Arabidopsis thaliana: one gene and its partner. The protein of the gene in region 1 interacts with the protein of each later gene in a biochemical or structural test. Each region holds a gene or a part of one and is shown on either strand. Other genes may lie near its edges.

Region 1 (10,097 bases):
ACATTTACTTTAAGTTCTGAAAATAATATAACACGGTGAGGATTTTTGGTTGCAGCTTATGTGCAACTATTACACCTTCAGACAAGACGGATCAAGAGCATTCACAAGATTCTGGAAGTTTCAGGTATCTTATTTTTGCTACAATTATTTCCTGTCTTCTTAAGACAAGAGGTGCTTAGGAAAGTTTTGTGTTGTCGTTGTCTTGATGGGTTTGAAGGGATCGATGGATGGGAAAACATGGACAGACTTGAGAGTCCATGAGGATGACCAAACAATGTGCAAGGCCGGTCAGTTTGCATCATGGCCAATCACCGCAGCAAATGCATTACTCCCCTTTAGGTTTTTCAGGCTGGTTCTGACCGGTCCAACTGCAGATACATCAACTCCGTGGAACTTTTGCATTTGCTACTTGGAGCTCTACGGTTACTTCCGTTGAAGCGCTCTGCAATGAATGACCTTTTGACTGTTTCTACTACACACGTTTTTGACGTTTATCCTGTTTACCTTTTGTTCTTGTACTACAGTGATCTTTGAACCTGAAAGTGTTTCTCAATATATGTTAAACTTGATTCCAGTTAGATTGTTTTGGTTTTTATACAAGAGATTTGGCCTATGGCTGTGGAGTAATGAGTTATACTTTGTTTTTTATGACTCGGTTTAAGAATCTCTTGCATAAAACTGACGAAGCAGACTCTTTTTTGACAAAAAAAAGTATCACAACAGAGTAAAATCAAGACCTAGACGAAAAGCGAAAAATGACAAAAGCCACAAGAGTTGTGGTAAGCAAAATGTTTGGGAACCGCTCGAATCTTTTAAAGCATTTGGACATCCATGAGTCCGGCGGCAAATGATGTGTAGAAGGGTATGTCACAATCTTTGGAGCAGAATCCGAATGTCGAAGTGGAACCATATTCTCTACGAAATGAGATAAAACACGAATGTCTGCAGCGATAAAATGGACTTCGTTTGTTTCTGGATTATATTTGAACAGCCTCTTTTCACTGTCATGGAAGAAAAGATTCCCTTGCTTAGAAACTGTCACTGGTCTACACCACAACCTCCATATCCAAGGGTGAAGAGCTCTAGGGAATAAACAAAATGAGTACGTCTTGGTCCATGTATCTTCCTGTGGATCCAAGCTCCATATCCTTACTTCCCAATGAGAAACTCCATAATATGTTTTAACCAAGGCTAGACGATCTTCAAGGTTAACTAGCTCGCTCGGTTCCCGGGGTGTGGGCGGTGTTGGGACATCACGAAACTGTTCAGTGTGAAGATCCAGAGCTAGAATCTTGAAACGCATGTTAAGATGTGTCACTCACATGTTAAACGCATGTCTCGGGACTGCTCCGCGGAAAATCTTGAAGATATTGATGACAAAATTTGTATCGAAAAATCAATGCTTGTACAATCTACGACCAAAATGTATTTTTATTTTATTTGTATTTCTAGAGGTGTACAATTGAAAATCCTCAAAATAATCCACCAATAGTATCCAAATCATATGTTATTTATATACTCTTTATAAATATAAAATTAATTATGTGACAAAAAAAATCAAGTAATTCAAAAATTAATTAAGGTAGATCAAATAGCTTATAATTTAGTGATAAACTTTTAAATGTCATAAGACAAAAAGAATTACTTTAAATTTCATAGAACAAAGTTAACTAAATATATGCTAAACATATTTAAAGTTTTTCTTCTCTTTAGAACTAAACATTCACGAAGTGTTAATGTGAGGATGTTTACGACAAATTATTAATGTGAGGAGGTTAACAAAGAGGGCCTACGTGTTTCACGTTTCTGTTTGTATGTCATAAGAAATGAAAATTTATCCCTAATTAGGGAATTAGTTTAGTGATAAACTTTTAAATGTCTCAATGACAATTATTAATTTGATTTCGTAAAATTTCGTAAATATTTCTTAAATAATGTCTAGGGAAGAATGAAGATGACATTTGTACTGAAAGTAAGGGATGTGGATAAGTATTCTAAATAATCAAAACTAGTGTAAGGTCTTATTGTTTTAATTAAGATTCTTAGCATATGTAGAGAATACAAAAAATAAAAATAAAATTGCATACTTGTGTTTATCGAAAGATTAGTGACAAAAATTTGTTACCTTTTTCGTAAATGGTAGATGGAAAACATTAACCATATTATAAGTTTTGTCAATCAATAATCATTTACTAGCTCATCACTAAATCCGTAACGAGAAAAACTCGTAATCAAACTGCATGTTTGTTAAGTGATAGAATAGTCTAGAAGACTCTAGATAATATGGTTCGAGTATTTTAAAAACCAACATTAGCTTCCATTGGTGAATGTAAAAAATGTAAATGACTAGTGACATCCAAGAGTAAACCATTTGGACGCATCAATTTTGAACGAGAGATTGGTGGATTAATGTCTACATACACGTTTACTCTCAAGCTATTTATGGTTGTGTTAAAGGTTCCTATCTTACTTAGCGGCTTTGTTTTGGGTATAAATATATTGATTGAATTTTAACATTTAAGAGTATCATCGTTTAGAAAATATTTGTGACGAAAATAATTAGACTATGGTCAGATTGATTATAACTTTACAAAACGGTTTCTTTTTACTTGTGTAATGACATTTAGCTATAGATCAATTTAGCGTTCTTAATTTGTGTTGGGTTAGATTTTGAATTGGAAAACATTTGACGTATATATGAGTTGGATCCAGTTTGTATTTTGGTTACATTTTCAGTTATATATGTGATAAGAAGAGTTAATTTAGAAAGTTATTTTTTACTGTCTGTATATATCTCTATAAGGAAAATTTTCTAATTAAATCATTTCTTTGAAACTCTTATTTGCATCAATCATATATGCCATATATTCACACATATATTCGTGTCGAAGATGTTATATAATATTTCTAAGAAAAAATCATTGAAAATGCGAAAATATTTCATACCGATATGAATATTGGTTTGTGATTATAGGTTTATAACAAGATCTCACCAACGTTGCTTCGTTGGAGAACTACAGTATTAAGGTGACAAACTTAGTTTCATGTCAATTACTCGTTTTCGTTTTGTTTTGGTCTCGTTTCAATATATTAGTTATATATGGATGATGAAAGAATAAAATTTTGTATTAATATGAATTGGTTTTTGACTTTACGTATATTTCAGTAGAGGAAAACTTGCCTAATTCACAATTTCCTTATGAATATAAACTTTTTTATAACTATGATATATAATAAACCTATAATCTCAAATCAATATTGATGTTTGTTCAGAAATTTCTCGCGGTTTAACTATCATCAATGTTGATTTGTTAAAGAATAGGCATAGCAACATGTTACCTGAATCGAAATTCATAGCAAAGATTTATGTTTGCTAACGAATATCATATACTATTATTGATAATAATAAAGTTACATTTAAGCTTTTAGAAGCTATATGCATATACTTGCATACATCATCATTATACGCATATGCTTCACTAATTCCACATTTTAAAACAAATTTAAACTTTGTGATTCAATTCAAGATGTAATGACTTTCAAATATGTAAAATGGTTCCAACGCATTACTCTTTGGTTATCTTAGTTAGGACTCTCTTAAAGAGAGACACATCACACATGCAACAAGTTGTGTGGCACCACACACAAGAAGATGGTCATCTTTGGTCGGATTCAACAACACAATTTTCCACCTTAAACTCATCCGATTTCATCAAATCATAGTTCGTTACACTCCTTGATTAGTCTAGTTTTCAACGAACATAACCATTAAAAAAAAAACCATAAGCATTCTCCAAAAAACCAAAAATACCGTAATACTATCAAAACAAACCATAGTTTTGACCAACCTTGCTTCAATCCCCATTTTCTCATCCTACACAAAACCATTTCAATCGATTAAACACTCAAACAAAACCTTACAGAATTATCTACACAATGAAAAAAACAAAATCAAAATCCATAAAGTAAACAAAAAGTTATGATAAAATCAATCAAAGCTAAAAGCACACCAATACAATACACAAAAGCACCTATCCACATCCATTAACCTCCGCATCCTTACATTCGTAATCCTAAATTATAAACCGTCGATAGATTTAAATCCAACGGTTGAAATTCAAACCTGAGTTGATACACCGATCCGAGTACTCATCATTTTAACCAATCAGAGAAGAGATTACAAACTCTGTCTCATAAACACATCTGACTATATAAACATCATTCCCATAGTTCTTCTCCTTCTCCTCATCACAAAATTCTCCGACGCATTACATTTTCTTCCGATCAATACAGAGAGATCAGTTTCTGAGAGAGAAGAAGATGTCTATAGAGGAAGAAAACGTTCCAACGACTGTTGACTCAGGAGCTGCCGATACAACGGTGAAATCTCCGGAGAAGAAACCGGCGGCGAAAGGTGGTAAATCTAAGAAGACGACGACGGCTAAAGCAACGAAGAAGCCTGTGAAAGCTGCTGCTCCAACGAAGAAGAAAACAACTTCCTCTCACCCTACCTATGAAGAGGTCAATATTCGATCTAAACTTTTTTTTTTTGAATTTTTATCAGATTCATAGATTTGGAATTTGAATTTTGTTTGAATTCGATGCAGATGATTAAAGATGCGATTGTAACGTTGAAGGAGAGAACTGGATCTAGTCAATACGCGATTCAGAAATTCATAGAGGAGAAACATAAATCACTGCCTCCTACTTTTAGGAAGCTTTTGCTTGTGAATCTCAAGAGACTTGTTGCTTCTGAGAAATTGGTTAAAGTCAAAGCTTCTTTTAAGATTCCTTCTGCTAGATCCGCAGCAACACCTAAACCGGCTGCTCCGGTTAAGAAGAAGGCAACTGTAGTAGCTAAACCTAAGGGTAAGGTTGCTGCTGCTGTTGCTCCTGCTAAAGCTAAAGCGGCGGCTAAAGGAACTAAGAAGCCTGCGGCTAAAGTTGTTGCTAAGGCTAAGGTTACTGCTAAACCTAAGGCTAAGGTTACTGCTGCTAAACCTAAGTCTAAGTCTGTTGCTGCTGTTTCCAAGACTAAAGCTGTTGCTGCTAAGCCTAAGGCTAAGGAGAGACCAGCTAAAGCTTCTAGGACTTCGACTAGAACATCTCCAGGGAAAAAAGTTGCTGCTCCTGCTAAGAAAGTGGCTGTGACTAAGAAGGCTCCGGCTAAGAGTGTGAAGGTGAAGTCTCCGGCGAAGAGAGCTTCGACTAGGAAGGCTAAGAAGTGAAGAAGATTGGTTTAGGATAGGTTTTGGGGGGAGATTGAATACATGGTGGTGGTTAGCTTCTATAGGGTAGTCTTGTATAATTGAATCATCCTTGAAGGAGCTTGCTTTCCAAAGTTTTTTACTTGTTTCTTTGGTTTCTTCTTGAAACTTTTTTTTTTCTTCTTTGTAAGTTTTGGTTTGTTTGAATTTTAAGCTTTTTGATCAATAGCTATAATGTGATGGTTTCTTCACTCTTTTACTTGTTCAGAAACTGTTATAGAAGCTTTCCATTTCAAGCAAATGACATTCACATGTTTAGTTCTGTCTTACTGTATCATTGTCTTTGTGGATTCTTCAGTTGTGGTTTTGAAGGAACTGGTCTCTCTTAAGAACAAGCTTGACCAATGTTAAGGTGAGATTCATATGTTTTCCTCTGAATCATGTCATACATTTGCTTCCTTAAACATCTCTTAAGACCAAGCTTGACAATGTAACTATCTCTTAGGTTAGGTGTTGCCAATTCTCTCTTTACTAGAGAGATTCAATTTTGTTTGATGTTTTAGGAGTTACATAAATGAATGACATACCGGGAAAAAAAAAGCTAAGAGATCTTCTGCGTTTATCTATCTTCATCTCTCATCTTGGTGTTTCTTGGAGATACTGTTTGAATCTTTCCACTTTCTGAATTGAGTATTTGAGCTCTTGTTGAATGTTGAACCTAGAAGGAGAAAGAACAATGTCTTTCCATATTGATCCAGCTTCACAAGCAGGATTTGGATTTCTGTATAGCTCGTAAATAGAATCTGCATTCTCGTTTAACCTCCCTACATTCTTCAAACAGTCTATCTCCTCTGGATCCACTAGCAATGTCTTTTCCTTCTCTTTCCACCCTATCAGCTGCATAAACCACATTTGTTCACCATGGATCCTCACTTTCATTACTTAAAACGTTTCAGGAGGAAAATTTTAACCTTTGGAGAACCTTCAAGAGCATTGGTGCAGTAAAGTCTAGCATTGTCAACTAAGTTGCAATAGGTAAGAAACGCATTCGCAAACCTCTTGTGAGATCTCAGCTGAGACCTCACTCTAACTGCTCTTCTACACATTATAGCTCTCCTGCATATATAGTAAACCAAAACCTTATGTTATGAAAACACACAATTGTTTTAAAGACCAACACTTGGAACATTCTCACCTAATTCCTCGAATCACTGCTAAATATGCATCACATACAACTCCAACTAACTCTATCCTGTATGGCTTTCTCTCCCTTCCATCTTCTTGAAGCTGTTGCCTTTCGCCTATGCGTTCCCAATAGTTCTCTATAACATCTCCATTCTCACCAACCTTGTAGCCAGCTCCCATTCTGTAACGATGGCGATGCACATTCCTCGCCATTGTTATGGTCTGAACCACAAATGGTACCCAAGAGAGTGTTCCATCCATTATCACGTCTCGCCCTTCGTTGAGAGCTGTAACGAGCAGCGATGATGCTGCGTCTGTTGATGATTGGTGAACCTGTTTTATTTCCATTTCACCGTCAGAGTTTCACAACATTGGATATTGAGTATAACAAAGGTAATATGCAGTATATATGAAGTTGATTCCTTGCACATTTTGTCGCTCTGCAGGTTCTTTTTACGTTAAGGATTCTTATTGCAACCTATAAGGAAACAAAGAACCTTACGAATTCAGCAGTCTTGATCATATCAACATGACCTCTGGCGCTTAAAGCTCTGTATATCACATCAGATTCTTTAAAAGCATCGGCTTCAATCACCACAGCATCAGCTCCTGCCCAAAACGGTCTGATCCAAAGCACACAAGCATGTACAGGTTCAATGCATAAGAACACTGATTAATGACAGATATGTTGATACTTTACTTACTCTTTGAGAATGTCTTTAAGCACAGTGCTCTTTCCTGCACCCATACCACCTCCCATAAGAAGTAGAACCGGGCTTCGGTCCTTGTGTGCAACTGGAGCCATAACTTCTGTACACTCTGAGTCATCAACAGATGCGATCCCCATTGCTTTCATTTCCTCTACCAATGTGTTAAACACTCTTGCCACTTTTAGATTTTTAGTCACCCTCTCAAACCTCTGTTCCCTATATATTAACCAAGGAACAAACAATCATTTTGGGAAGAATCATTAAAGAGAACACTTGTTTTTTAGACTCACCTTGTAGCCGCCATGACAATGTGCTTTAGCTTCTTCTTAGGCTCTACATCGGCACTGAGTATCTGAAATGTTTTTGGTCTATTAGTAATATAACAAAGAAGGGATAATGAAAGTTTATTAGTAACCTGACTGATCATGAGATCCGCATGGCTCCAGTGGTAAGCAAAGTAACTAAGAATACATCTCTCAAACTCTTCAACGAGCTTAATGAAGAGAGAATCAGCACCAGGCTCTTCAGAGAAGAAGCTGTATATGTCTTCCTCACAGCTGCCTGATTTTCTTATGTACTCATTAGCTAATTTGCAGAGATGAGGACATTCTCTCCTGTCCTTGAATCCCATCTGCCGCACTACAAAAGACACAAACAACATTTCCTTAATATGCATCATAATCTAAGATCAGGAAGATTTCAAGGAAGCTATGTAGATTGATTTTACCAACATAGTGAGAGAATCTCTCAAGCTTCTCATGGCCTTTGTGTTTTTGAGACGATCTGAGACGAGGGATGTTCTTGGAGTGACGTAGCTTCCTTAGACGGAAGTGCAGTGCAAGGGCTAAGAGTAAGCCAATGGATGAGATTACTAAAATCTGTGCGAAGGTCGTCGTGTTGTTGTTGCTGTTAAACTCTGGAACACACATTGATCTGGATTTGCTTTGGGGATCATCAAGAGACATGAGATTAAGATTGTTAGAACTCTAAGATTGGGTCCATTCTTGAGTTTGTTTTCTGTTACGAGACAATGTATCTGCTTTCTCCACGTGTGTTGTACTAAAATAGCTTTGAGTCCTATTACTCCGGAAGTTTCTTAGTTTGCTTTTTGTGTGATTTGACTCACCATTTTGTTTTAATAACCAAACTCTCATCCCCAATGTATGATATAATAGTGTTTTGGCAATGGTTTTATAAAATCTATTCGTTAAGGCTATAACATAAGAAGAATCTGTCATTGGATATCTATTGGAAAAATGAGTTACAGAGAAAGGCTTTGAAAATAATATTCTAAACCTAAGTATAAGAAATAATAAATTCAGATCAGAGAAGAAGTAAAGAATCTAAAGAGAGATGTCATATGTTTTTCATATAGGAGCTGTGCAAGTTGTTCTGAAATGGCCAGCCTGATTACACCGGCTACATCGAACAACCCGCTTTTGACGTCCACGGTCCTCTCCTTGACTTCTCCTCTTCTTTGGCCGTGGTGGTTGTCTTAAATCCCTAGGTGGTCTGATAACAATCTCTTCACCATCCTCACCACTTTCTCCGGCAGGTTCTGTTGTTTTCCACTCAGTTTTGTCTGGAACTGGATGTATGGTTTCTGCGTAAGTTCGCCGGTAATTTGCTACAGTGAAGTAACTCTCTGTGAACCTGTATACGTTCTGTCTACAAGCGAGGAGGGCTGCAACTGCGTGGCTACAAGGCAAACCGTATAACTCCCATCCACGGCAGTAACACGTACGGCATCTAATATCCACTATCCATTTTCCTTCACTGGTCATGACCTCGAATTGTGCTTCGTTTGCTTTGTGAACTGGGTACAAACGACATTCTTCTATAGCCTCAAGGACATGTCTCTCAGCAGATGGAACTAGCATACCAGACCATTGCATGCTTGTTTCACGGCGTTCATTGAACAGAGTCATTAGTTGGCGACGAATACTCTCCAACATTTGGATTATAGGAAGACCTGACGCATCTTGAACCCAACTATTAAGTGACTCGGAAACATTTGCAGTCAGATGTCCAAACCTTGTTCCTTCAAAGCAGTATGTGGCCCATTGACTGTGCTGGATGTTACGAATCCACGAGGCAGCTTCTGGGGATATCTGGGCTATCTCTCCCATTTTTCCTTCAAATTCAAAGTCGGTCAGACATTTTGCTGCTTCCCAAACAAGGTTCACAAGAATGGAGTTGTTGAACTGAGTACGGACGCTTTCTGTGAGACAATGGACACACAAGCCATGAAACGCCGTTGGAAAATTAGTATCTACTCCATCGACAATGGATTGATCTCTACTAGATAAAATTGTCAGCTTTGGCATGTTTTCGGAATTAACTTCAAGCAGCTGACGCAATTCTGAGAGGAACCACTGCCAGCTACTATCATTTTCTTCACTAATAATAGCGAAAGCCAAAGGAAACACTGCACCTTCTCCATCAAACCCAGTGGCAAGCAGCAATGTCCCTACATATTTGCTCTTCAAAACAGTCCTGTCCAATCCAATAAGAGGTCGACAAGCATTTAGAAAACCACAGATTGATGCTTGAAAAGAAATGAAGAATTGTTGGAAGCTCCCATCAACTGGGCTTCCATGAACCACAGCAACGCTCCCAGGATTTGTTCTCCTAATTTGATCACAATATCGAGGAAGAAGGCGATAATCTTCTTCATATGACCCGCGAACAGCAGCCATTATACGTTCTTTTCCCCTCCATGCTTGCTTGTATGTTAGTGTAATTCCATGAACTTGATGAATTTGCTCCAGTATCTCCTTGGGTTTGCAATGAGGATTTACTTTCAGCCTTTCTGTCACAGCATCAGCAACCCACTGAACTGAAGCTTGATGGTGACCAAGGTGTGAAATACCACCACATGTGTGACTCCCATGAATAGTCCTTATTGTAAAGGTTGGTAGACCAGGAAGCTTGGCACAGTGAATTCTCCAAGGGCAACCCTCACTATTGCACTTAGCAGTGAAGCGAGTTTTGT
Region 2 (10,912 bases), on another chromosome or scaffold:
GGTTGTAGAGGCACCCATCCCATCCTAACTGCTATCCTTCCAACATTCGTGTCAACCTTCATATCATCAATACAAGTTCCAGCTTAGTTAGCCGGAGTTATTCTAAGTTTTTAGTAGATAATGGAATAGTCTGACTCACAGGGAAAGCAAGATTGTGGAGTGTTAAGAGTCGCACGCATTCAACACTTTTCAAACCCAGACCTCTTATGCTCAAGAGATAGTCCCTGTGAAATGTTCATGAGCAACTTGTTAATACTCAGTTTGACGTAATTGTTGAGTAAATCGATCGTGCTAGTGTTGCAGTCACTAAAAATGTGATTTACCCACTTGGCTTTATCAGGAGGAGATTCTCTCAACCATTCAAGGTCGATACCACCATGATCTTTAACTATCCGTTCTAGGAAATCCTGCAATGTTGTAAATATGGTTACATAATTTACTGATGTTCAAGCCTTCTGACAGATTTGATGAGGGTCTCAACTGAAATTAGTAGATTTACCTTAATTCGTACGGCCAACATGTTATTCATCCCTCTTTCCTTGATAGCCTCAGAAATCTCGCTGATACTAGCACGTCTTATTGCTTCATAGTCTATGGAATCCATATTGTTTTTGTTTCGTTCCTGTCTCCCTTCATTCCCCTCCACATCTTTTCTGAGACTATCCCACTGGCTTGTAGGCTTTTTCCCATCAGCAAGCGTCCCTTTCATCTCTCGTAAAATAGTGGCATTTGTCTCCTTGTATTCAACTGCCGTCTGCTCTTTATTGCTGGAATTTGATTCGACCAATATGTTCTGTAAGCTTGAATTGTTACTGAGCGGATCAACCACGTCTTCAGCAGTTCTATCTCTCGGTAGACAGCCATCCGTGATGTTCTGTTTGGTACTGGACTGTCTTGTAAGGCATTCTTCAGAGGAGTTGAGCAGATCCAAAAATGTTTTTTGTAAATGGGATGCTTTATTCATCTCATCTTGTTGATTATGTTGGGTATCGTCCTGGTGTTCTTGGACGGCGCTTGAGGAACCGGACAATCCCATTCCTGGTAATTCATGAGGCGTTGATGGTATGATCTGACCTGTGAATTCTCTTGGAACACTTCCACCTTGTCTGAAAAACCTGCGTGGTACATTTTTGTTCTTTACTCTGTCAACTCTTGGTGAGATGGACATCCAAGAATAACCAAGGCCTTCACCTTGCATTCCAAAATCCTCTATGTCTAGTACATGTGGCTGTCGAGTCGCACACTGCTCATAGCTGCTGGAAGGAGTTGTTTGCCAATTAGTATCATTTCTTGGCTGACCAAAACAGACAGAGTCTTTCCAATTCATTGTTTTTTCAAGATCAGGTTTCTTCTGAGCGACATTTGTAGTTTCTTGTTTCTGAACATCACCAGATCCTTCATATAGATGCGGTCTCTCATTCCCTTGAAGACAAATTTCATCAGACAAGTTTGGGCTCCCAGTTTGCACTGATTGTGATGTTCCACTGACAGTTTTTGTTTCACACCTGGTTGTAGGAAACTCTGCGTCTGATTTGGAACATGAACAGGATCCAACTCTCCCACACGACTGAAATATCGCCGGATCAAAAGAATCTTGTGATGATAATACTTCCTCTTCTAAATTTTGAATACTCTTCTCTAAGAAATTAAATCTTTCAATTCCAGAGTTTGAACAGTCCCTTAGCTGCTCTTTTGATCCACTATCAACCCCAGAAACTTCCATGTCAGATGGATGTTGAACCTTTTCCTGCCACGAAGGAATTTCATTTAAGTTCAGAATGCATCCTTCTGGATCTTCAACAACTACGCTTCTAACATTCCTTTCATCTTCTCGGCTGCTGCTTAATTTTGGAGGGAATCGAGCAGCTAGAGACATGAACGCAGAGCTGCATTGTAAAACCACCATGGGTTAATTTCTATGTTTTGGAACTCAATTTATTAAGGCAACTCATATACCTTGAAAGGTGATCCGAGACATTCTGTGTAAGGAAAACTCCAATGACCGAATCAACCACCGATCCCTTCCATGGCGAAAAACGTCTATCTCCTGTAAACGTTTAAGTTCAATTGGTCATCTATAGCAGTAAAAGAAATAATAGGCACATAAACCATTCAGCTGTCACCATAAATGCACACCTGTTCTTCACAAGATGCATTATGAATATTATTTGACATGGTTAACTAGTGAATTTTAAAATTTTGCAAACAAAACATCATTTTTGAGTATTCTACTAATTTGTGTGAATAAAAATGGAGTTGAGAAGAGAAGTGGATCTTCACCTTGTACCAGGTGCATGCGAGCGATGAAGGAATCAGCCCTTCCTCGGAAGACTCTTCTTTCTTCTTCCCACCACTTCTCTTTCTTTTTATCCTTCTCTTCATCCCCTTCTTTTTCATCTCCTTTCCCCATCAGTAAGTTCCATATGCGAGTTGTTTCATCGTCAATGTCAACTTTGGGTCTTGGTTTTCGCTTCTTGCTCTCATAGGGAACAAGTGCACCATCTCCTTTGTACAAGACCATTGCATTTTGCTCTTGTTCTCTTTCTTTGTCTCCTAGATACAGATTTTGCATCCTGTAAATTATTTCCGCAATAGAATCCTGACACAGAAGTTCTCCTGATGGACCTATACAACGCACCAACAGTGATAAGGAGCTGGTTTGGACACATCAGTTACTAAAATCTCAAAATTATATCACAGAGATTGTAGAATACATTAGTTACCTCTTGCTTTTCCTGAATCTTGTATGGACTTTCTCCCTTTTCCTTTAGGCTTGCTTCTTGATAAAGGTGTCTTTGGAGGAGTAGGTTGCCAAAGCTGGATCTCTGAGGCATGAGCAGGCGGAGGTACTGATTTTTTTCTACCTGCTCGACCCTTTTTTGCAGGCGTTTTTGGGACAATACATTTCTCCTTTTCTGCTGTCTTTTTAACTGGAGACGAGTTTCCTTTAGATGCACCTTTACTGATGCTGGCAGTATTTTTACCTTTTCTTGCCCCATCAGTTGGATCATCCTCGATTTCTATAACCTCAGGTGGCATGCCATGCAAATTTTCTTGGACTACTTTCTGGATTTTCGTTTTCTTTGCAGCATCTAAATATTCCACACACGTGCTGCTGTTATGTCTCTCCACATCTTGTGATTGAGCAATCTGTTGAGCTAAGTTTAGATCATGCTTTTCCGTCTGTCCCATTGCACGATGATACTGTCTCTTCGAGCCCCTGGCTTCCTCAAGTTTAGCCATAATTGGAGTTGGCAGAGAAGAGTTTTGAGGTAACGCTTTCTTGCACCCATTACCATTGGATATCTCATGAGAAAGTATGTACTTATTTCCTTGATGGATATCTTGCTGTAAAGAATCGTATGCAGGAGCCCTGCTTCTCTGGCATGTACCTGTAGTCCCATTCAAAATCCTGGAAACAGATTCCACATGTAGATATGTTGTAGGAACTTGTGACTGAGAATGAGGTCGAAGCCCAGGCGATGACATGCTGGTAGCTACCATCTGATTCAAGTGAGTAAAACCTTTTGGAGTTGCAGGTTGCTGGTCAATCAAAGGTACGCAAGGCTGCTGGCCTCTTATTAATGATCCAGGTTGCTGGTTTTTTATCAGTAGTCCATGTTGTTGCCCTCCGGTTGACATAACAAGTTGATGCATGTCTGTAGGTGATCCATATAGCTGATTTCCAGCAGGTAAACAAGTCTGGTGATTCAAAAATATAGGCCGCTTGTTTCCTTGGGGACCTCCTAGTTGCTGGTTTCCACTTACTAATGCAGGCCGTGGAGTTCCTATCAGATACATAGGTTGTTGATTACCCATGGCCAAGCAAGGCTGCTGGTTTCTTATGGTCATGCGAGGTTGCTGGTTACCAAATGGAAAGCCAATAAGTTGGTTTTTCATCTGAAGCCAAGCTTGTTGGTTTTCCATTGGGAACTGGGTGTTCTGGGTTGCCACTGGGAACTGGCATTGCTGGTTTCTAGTCAATAAATCAGGTTGTTGGTCTCTGGCCAGTTTCGCTCCTGTAGATAGTTTATCTGGCTGGTTTCCCATTGACACTTCAAGTGGCTGGTTCATAGCCCCCAATCCATTGGTCTTGTCTATTTGTGACACTGAATCCAGGAAACTACCATTAGTTCCACCAATGGCATCTCTGATCTCAGAAAACGAGTTTGCGCCACTACTGTTCTGGACAATTTCAGACTCAGAGTCACCTTGCCTCGCATCTCCAGGATTCTCCAAGTCAAAATTCAAAGCTTTTCTGCAACTTTTGAGTGTGACTTCAGGGCTTTTGTTGCTCATATCTCCAACATTGGCTGGCTTTTTAGTTGCTGATTCTTTCAAATTTTTCTTTTTGGCACTCCCGGTTTCTTTAGATTTCACTTTTTCCTGAGTTGCAGCTTTGCGTGGCTTCCTTTTAGGTTTGCCTTCCACGACCACTTTGGGAAGTTCTGCAGGTTTGCGTGGCTTTCTTTTAGGTTTGCCTTCCACGACCACCTTGGGCATGAACTTCCTTTTCCTTTTGGAGGGTTTCTGCTGAGGAGTTTTGTTAAGGTCGAACTCCAGAACATCTTGTCTGCTGCCATCATTTTGTTCAGTAGCTTCCGTCGCATTAACAGCAGACGAGTCCATAATGCTCTGCATACTTTTGTCAGATTTCGGCTCTGGGATTTCATGTCCAGTAGTTGTAACTATCTGTTCAAGGAATCCAGTCTTTTCACCTGTTCTGAACAGACTGGGCGTTGACGGTACATATTGAAACGAACTTTCACAGACTGACCCAACTGCTTCTCTTCTAATTGGTGAATTCAAATTGTAAAGAGGCTTGTTACACGCTGGAGGTCCATCTGTTCAAAACCATGACTTTCTTAAGATATTCTAATTCATGTTCTACTCTAAGTACTGCAAGAACGGAAGAAAGGGAAAAAAAAAAACTGAAAATAGATTTGATCACTCACATTGACGAACCTTGAATAAGCTATCCCCACCACTCAGCAAGCTTGTGAAGGAGAAGGGCATCTGATCAGGATTCAACAAGTCATCCAATTCAAACTCATTATAGCCAGCTTGAGAAGTGCCACTCTGGGTGAAAGGACCATTTACCATACCCACATCTGAAGTAAAATTTCCATTGACCGGCTCTACATTACCGGTGGTGTTTCTGATAACTGGTGCTAAAGGAGAAGTCACCTCACTCCTGCCCAAAAGATCTCTCTCACTATTACTCCAAGCTTGTGCATGTGATCCCGCTAAGCTATTGATCATCATACTTAAGTTGGTAACGCCCTGATGAGCACCATGATCAAAAACCCCATTATGATCCACACCAGTGTTGCAGAATCCCCTGTCTACAAATTCACCACCTGGAAACCCATTTAGATCCTGGTTTATCACTCTCTCATCTACCATCAGACTTGATCTAGGTTTTTTGGGTGTAAATGGAATCCAAGAACCCATGAACTCTTGTTGAGTTTGATTCTCCAAAGGAACTCGAAAATATCTATCCCCCGGATCAGCCCTCGAATTCATAACACACTTGATGAATCACTCCCCCTTCAAACCTTATCACTACCTCACCCCAAATAACACTCACCTAACTCTCCGAAAACTCTCTCCAAACACCAAAACAAAGCAACATGGACGAACACTCCTTTTTAATCTGACTTGGTTAGAGAAGGCGACATTAACTAAGAATCTGCACCATAAAATGCAATAAATGATTTTTTGTCAGATATTTTTCTCATCAACAAAACGAGAAACACATTGAATAGCGAAGAATTTTTTAGCTGGAAACGGTAAAAGAAGAGCGAATAAAGTAAGCAATGTTTATGGGGAAAGTGAAGATAAAAGCAAATCAGAGGTTTTTATTACGCAGAATCAAAATCAGGTGTTAATAGCTGAGATTTATGATCAGAAAACAGGAACATGTATTGATTAACATAAAAACCCAGTGATTCTTCTCGTGATCGGAAAATGTAACAGCTGGAAAATTTAGCAGAACAAATTCCAGATAAAAAAGGGAGAGAGAAAAAAAGGAAATAATATGTAAATAAACAGAAAATGGAGCTAAAAGCTCACCGATCTAAGCTTTCTGATTCTCAGGCGAGTCAATGCCGGAGAACACTGAGTCAGCTATGCCGTTAGAGATAGAGATAGAGAGAGAGTGTGGTGAGATGAAGAAGGAATAAAGTGAAATATCAGTTGGCGTTAGCAATATGGGCCTGAGGCCCAAATTATATTCACGAGGACGTTGTTGCTTAAGTGTATTTTGTTGTTAATTGTCATTAGTCCTATTAAAATGGTTTAGTTTGCAAGTTTTCAGATAAAGCAACAACGCTAAACCCAACTTTTGTTGGTTATAAGTTATAACTTATAAATGTTCATTAGAATCTTACTAAATTTAATGTTTTGGTCTTCTTCCTATATTTAGATTTTAAAGTATGTCAACACGATTTTTAAATGAAATTTAATGTTGCAAACTTGCTTCTTCATGCCAACATTTGACCGAATTACATAAAGGAAGTTCAATGCTAAAATCGTATTTTTGTAAAACGCTCATAATCACTATTTTCGCTAGAGTATCTAATAATTTCCATATATTCATGAAATTAATTTGAAATTTGACACAAAATTCTCGTATTTTTTTAACGTAAATAAAGGTATAACACCGAACTCGTATTTTACGACTATGTTCGTTTCTAATTGCACCAAACTGATAAAATTGTAGTCACCAATTAATTACTCCGTTAGTGTATTAAACTAATATTATTTGACCCATTTGGAATATAAACCCGACCCGAAAGTTAATGAAATTGTATAAACGACAAGTTTCCGCGTGGAAGCCATTAATGATTGTGACGGATCTCTTCCTACCCCCAATCAGTTTCAATTTAGTCCTTCATCTTTCGGGATAATCCTATTTTAAACCAATGAAAGGATTTCTGGTCCCATATAGTTTATTGGGTGCTGCTCCTTTATTTTTCTTGGTATTTTATTTGACTCCCATACATTTAGATTTATTCGCATTGACCCCCACAGCAAGAGACCATAAGTCACGTTACGAATCTTAAAAAAATTTCGTCTAAAGGTAGTCACGAAACATTATTATGAGATTCTTGCTATGTTTGAGAATTATATCCCTCGGAAGAAAATTCAGTTGACGATATATCAATAATCAATGTATTTTTGTTCTTAGTCAACATTGTAGTAATGAAAATACGATTTTTTAAAGTAATGTTTGTGACAATGAATAGCAAATTATATCATCATAATTACAGAAAATATACATATCTTTAAGGTTTTTCCTTGAAACAAGAAGAACTCTTGACATTATTATAGCTAACACGAGTCTGAAGAATTAATCTCAGTGAATTTATATTTTAAACAGTTACATATCTTTTGAGATTTTTGTACAAATGTTCATATACCAAAATAAAGAGATTAAGAATCTGTTGACTTATTCTTTCTTTTGATAATTATATCGGTTAACTTTTCTTACCATCGGTAAATTAATACTTTGATTGAGAATTTGAGATTAGATACAATTGGTCTACGTTTTGGAATCTAGTGACATATTTGGTGTATTAGGAGGTTTTTCAAATAAAGTGAGCGTTTCATAATCATGAGTATGTAGTTATCCCATACTCGTAAAATATTATGGCAAGAAGGAAAAAATAGCATCCTCCAACAAGTAACAATCCACTCAACACCTTTTTAGAAACTTCCATATAAATAATACTACATGTAGTATATATTGGAAATATCGCTTTCGCATTGACAAGTTCAACGTCAATCAAGCTAGTTAGGTCAACTTTTCCCTAACGTTTTTGTTAAGTTAAAACTATTTGATATGTTTATTTTGTTTTGGTTCTATATGGAAATTAAAGATAGATATTACAGAATTATGCATTATTAAATGTATTTTAATTGATAGATAAATGTATTTAATTTCGCAAAATTTAAAACTTTCGATATGAGTATATATTTTTAAAGGTACGTATGTACATCTACTATTTGTTTTTTTTTAACTACCAACCTATTTGAGTTTGTTAAAATTCCTAGTTTAAATGCATTATGGATGTTTTTTTGGGCTAATTGTTGAGTAAGGAGTTATCGTTTCTATATAACTTTCATATATATATATATATATATATATATATATATATATATATATTTTAAGGATTGTGAATGCAATACTTTTAAGTTTTAAATGTGTTACAATTTAGGATATTTGTCGTGATTAGAGATGGTCCTAAAAAATCTATGGACTTAATTAAAACCAAATATTATGCCCATTAACTAATTATTGATTTTTTGAAAGAAAAAGATTTGAAAACAAAAAGTCTACAAGGGAGAGAGAGTTGAACTCCCGGCTTTAATAAGCTAAAGGAAAGATTTTGTGATCCTAAGAAGACATTTTTGAGGTTTGCTCAATCATTTCTATTTTAAGATCAAAACTGTCATTGATTGTGATCACATGTATTGTTTAGTTATTAACTTGTTTTATATAAGTTCGACCTTTTGGATGGTAATCTCTCATCATATTAAAATACATTTTTTGTTATGAATATATATTCCATGAAAATGTAACATAAGAAACAAAAACAACATTATATCTTAATTTTTTTCCTTTCAAATTACATGAAATTTGAAAGTTTGATACAATAATGAAACTTATGATATAGAAATCCTTCTTTTCTTTTTGATTTCAGCAAAATTACACCATAGTTTTAGAAATTATAAATGTTTTGATTTTTTTTTGGAGAGACGGTTATTGTCAACCTTTTAAGTGTCAAAAGTGACTTTTTTTATTATAATTTCATAGAAATTTTGTTAAAATGATTTATCATATATTTGAGTTTCTTTATAGATATGTTATATACACATAAATAAGTTTGTAGCAGTTTACTATTTTTTTTAGAAATTCTGCTTTCACGTTTTCAACTGCTTAGCTTTTAATTCTATAAGTAATATGAATTCTTTCTTTCTTTTTTAATAGAAAATACATAAATTTGCTGTGGTCTGTTCTGATTTTTCTTGGAGAAAAAGGCAGGTAAATTGTCAAACACTTTAGGATCGAAAAGTGACAATCAAAAAAGTTTGAGGCAAAATAAGCAAATAGTCTGAAAATAAAGTAGTAAAGAAAAAGGCAAATATAGGATTCTTTCTTTTAAACACGACGACGAACTTGACTCGCTCAGTCTCTCTCTCTCTTTATCTCTCCACAATTTGCTGCTTTAACCTCTCTCTCTCTCTCTCTCATCACACCATGTGGGATGTGGCTATAGCAGTCTTCACTGCATCTTCCTCCTCACTTTCTTCTCTCTCTTTCTCTTAATTTCTTTTTTTCCAGATTTTTCTCTGATTCCCATCTTTTCCCTCGAATGATCGGTAAGATTCTCTCTTCCTTCTCCCACTGTTTCATTCTTACGCGCTTTGTGGTTTTCACTGTTCCCGTGTCGGCTCTATATCTTCTCGATTTTGCCGACAATTCCAATTTCAAATCATGGGTCTTTTACTAAATTCGATGTTGGTAGCTTTAAGCTTCGAGAACCGATTTAGAGGGTTGGTTGAATTTGGGCGTTTCTCTCTAACTTGAGCTCTGTAGCTAGATTTCCCCAATTTCAATTCCTTTTTGCTTGTGTACGAGTTACTTCTTGCTGTTTTCTTGAGATTTCAATCGTGGGTCTGGTTTTTTATTGTGAAATTTGGAAGCTTTTTGGTGTTGATAGTATTGGTTTATTGCAGGTTGAGAGAAGATGGTTTCAGAGACTTGGTTTCGTAATCTGTGGAGGTTTCCAAAGAAACATGATGGTCATAAAGATAAGGCGGTTCTAGGAGTATTAGCGTTTGAGGTTGCGAGTTTGTTGTCGAAGCTTGTTCATTTGTGGCAGTCATTAAGTGATAAGAATGTTGCAAGGCTTAGGGACGAGATTACACATTCCACTGGTATAAAGAAGTTAGTTTCAGAAGATGATGATTTTATTGTGAGGTTAATACGTGATGAAATGATGGAGAACGTTGAGAATGTAGCGAAAGCTGTGGCTAGGCTTGCGAGGAAATGCAACGATCCCAAGTTGAAGTGCTTTGAGAATTGTTTTAGTGATATGATGAAGACTGGAGCTGACCCTTATGGTTGGCAGTTTGGGTGGAAGAAAATGGATAAGAAAGCTAAGAAAATGGAACGTTTCATATCATCTAATGCTAGTCTCTACCAGGAGACTGAGATTCTTGCTGATCTTGAACAGACTTTCAAGAGAATGAAGAGCAATGAATCTGCTACTGACAATCTTTTGGAGTATCAGAAAAAAGTTACATGGAAAAGACACGAAGTGAAGAATCTGCGGGATGTGTCTCTTTGGAACCGTACTTATGACTATACCGTCATTCTCTTGGTTAGATCAGTTTTCACAATCCTTAGCAGGACTAAACATGTTTTTGGCATTAGTTACAGAGTGGAAGCAAGTGATGTTAGCTCTGCAGATTCTGATTTTATTGGCCGCAGCCACTCCGTTTCTACTATTTTAACTCCTGTATCTCATAAATCTGAGTCTAGTGGTCTTCCTAGATTTGCTTCTGGCCCCCTTGGAAGATTTACCGGTCCAGCATCGGGTTCAGCTGCTACAAGGTCCACGAAGATGAGTGATTTCCTTTCGGGTTCTCTCAGCGCCGAATCACCTAAGTCAGGTCCTCTTGTTGCAGAAAAACACAAACGTTTCAAGTTTTACTCTGGTCAGCTTGGGAAGATCACCTCCAAATCAGGACCACTTATCGGAATGGGCAAAAACAACAAGAAGATGGGGCAGACCCCGGAAAGGCCTTCAATTTCCTCAGTGAAAAAGCAATTGAAAGCCAACCGATTAACACAGGTTGGCCCATTTAAAGGCTGTATGGTGTCTCACGATGGGATTACGCC

What was found.
Region 2: the proteins of AT2G30620 (region 1) and DME form a complex in vitro, tested with the Arabidopsis thaliana proteins (one study listed by BioGRID).

Annotation. Positions count from the first base shown.
Region 1 is NC_003071.7:13,041,040-13,051,136, forward strand, and holds AT2G30620 (winged-helix DNA-binding transcription factor family protein), read left to right. Parts: upstream 1-3,891; 5' UTR 3,892-4,320; coding exon 4,321-4,521; intron 4,522-4,607; coding exon 4,608-5,228; 3' UTR 5,229-5,643; downstream 5,644-10,097. Other genes in the region: AT2G30600 (BTB/POZ domain-containing protein), read left to right, coding at 56-124, 218-436; AT2G30615 (F-box/LRR protein), read right to left, coding at 731-1,303; AT2G30630 (P-loop containing nucleoside triphosphate hydrolases superfamily protein), read right to left, coding at 5,844-6,104, 6,179-6,323, 6,403-6,725, 6,895-7,015, 7,097-7,318, 7,393-7,741, 7,830-8,067. UniProt on the Arabidopsis thaliana protein: Histones H1 are necessary for the condensation of nucleosome chains into higher-order structures.
Region 2 is NC_003076.8:1,304,400-1,315,311, reverse strand, and holds the start of DME (HhH-GPD base excision DNA repair family protein), read right to left. Parts: upstream 6,199-10,912; 5' UTR 6,076-6,198; exon of another isoform or gene 5,693-6,075; 5' UTR 5,527-5,692; coding exon 4,956-5,526; exon of another isoform or gene 4,845-4,955; coding exon 2,724-4,844; intron 2,626-2,723; coding exon 2,281-2,625; intron 2,048-2,280; coding exon 1,957-2,047; intron 1,887-1,956; coding exon 500-1,886; intron 408-499; coding exon 328-407; intron 225-327; coding exon 140-224; intron 57-139; coding exon 1-56. Other genes in the region: AT5G04550 (type-1 restriction enzyme mjaxp r protein (DUF668)), read left to right, coding at 9,756-10,912. UniProt on the Arabidopsis thaliana protein: Transcriptional activator involved in gene imprinting. Catalyzes the release of 5-methylcytosine (5-meC) from DNA by a glycosylase/lyase mechanism.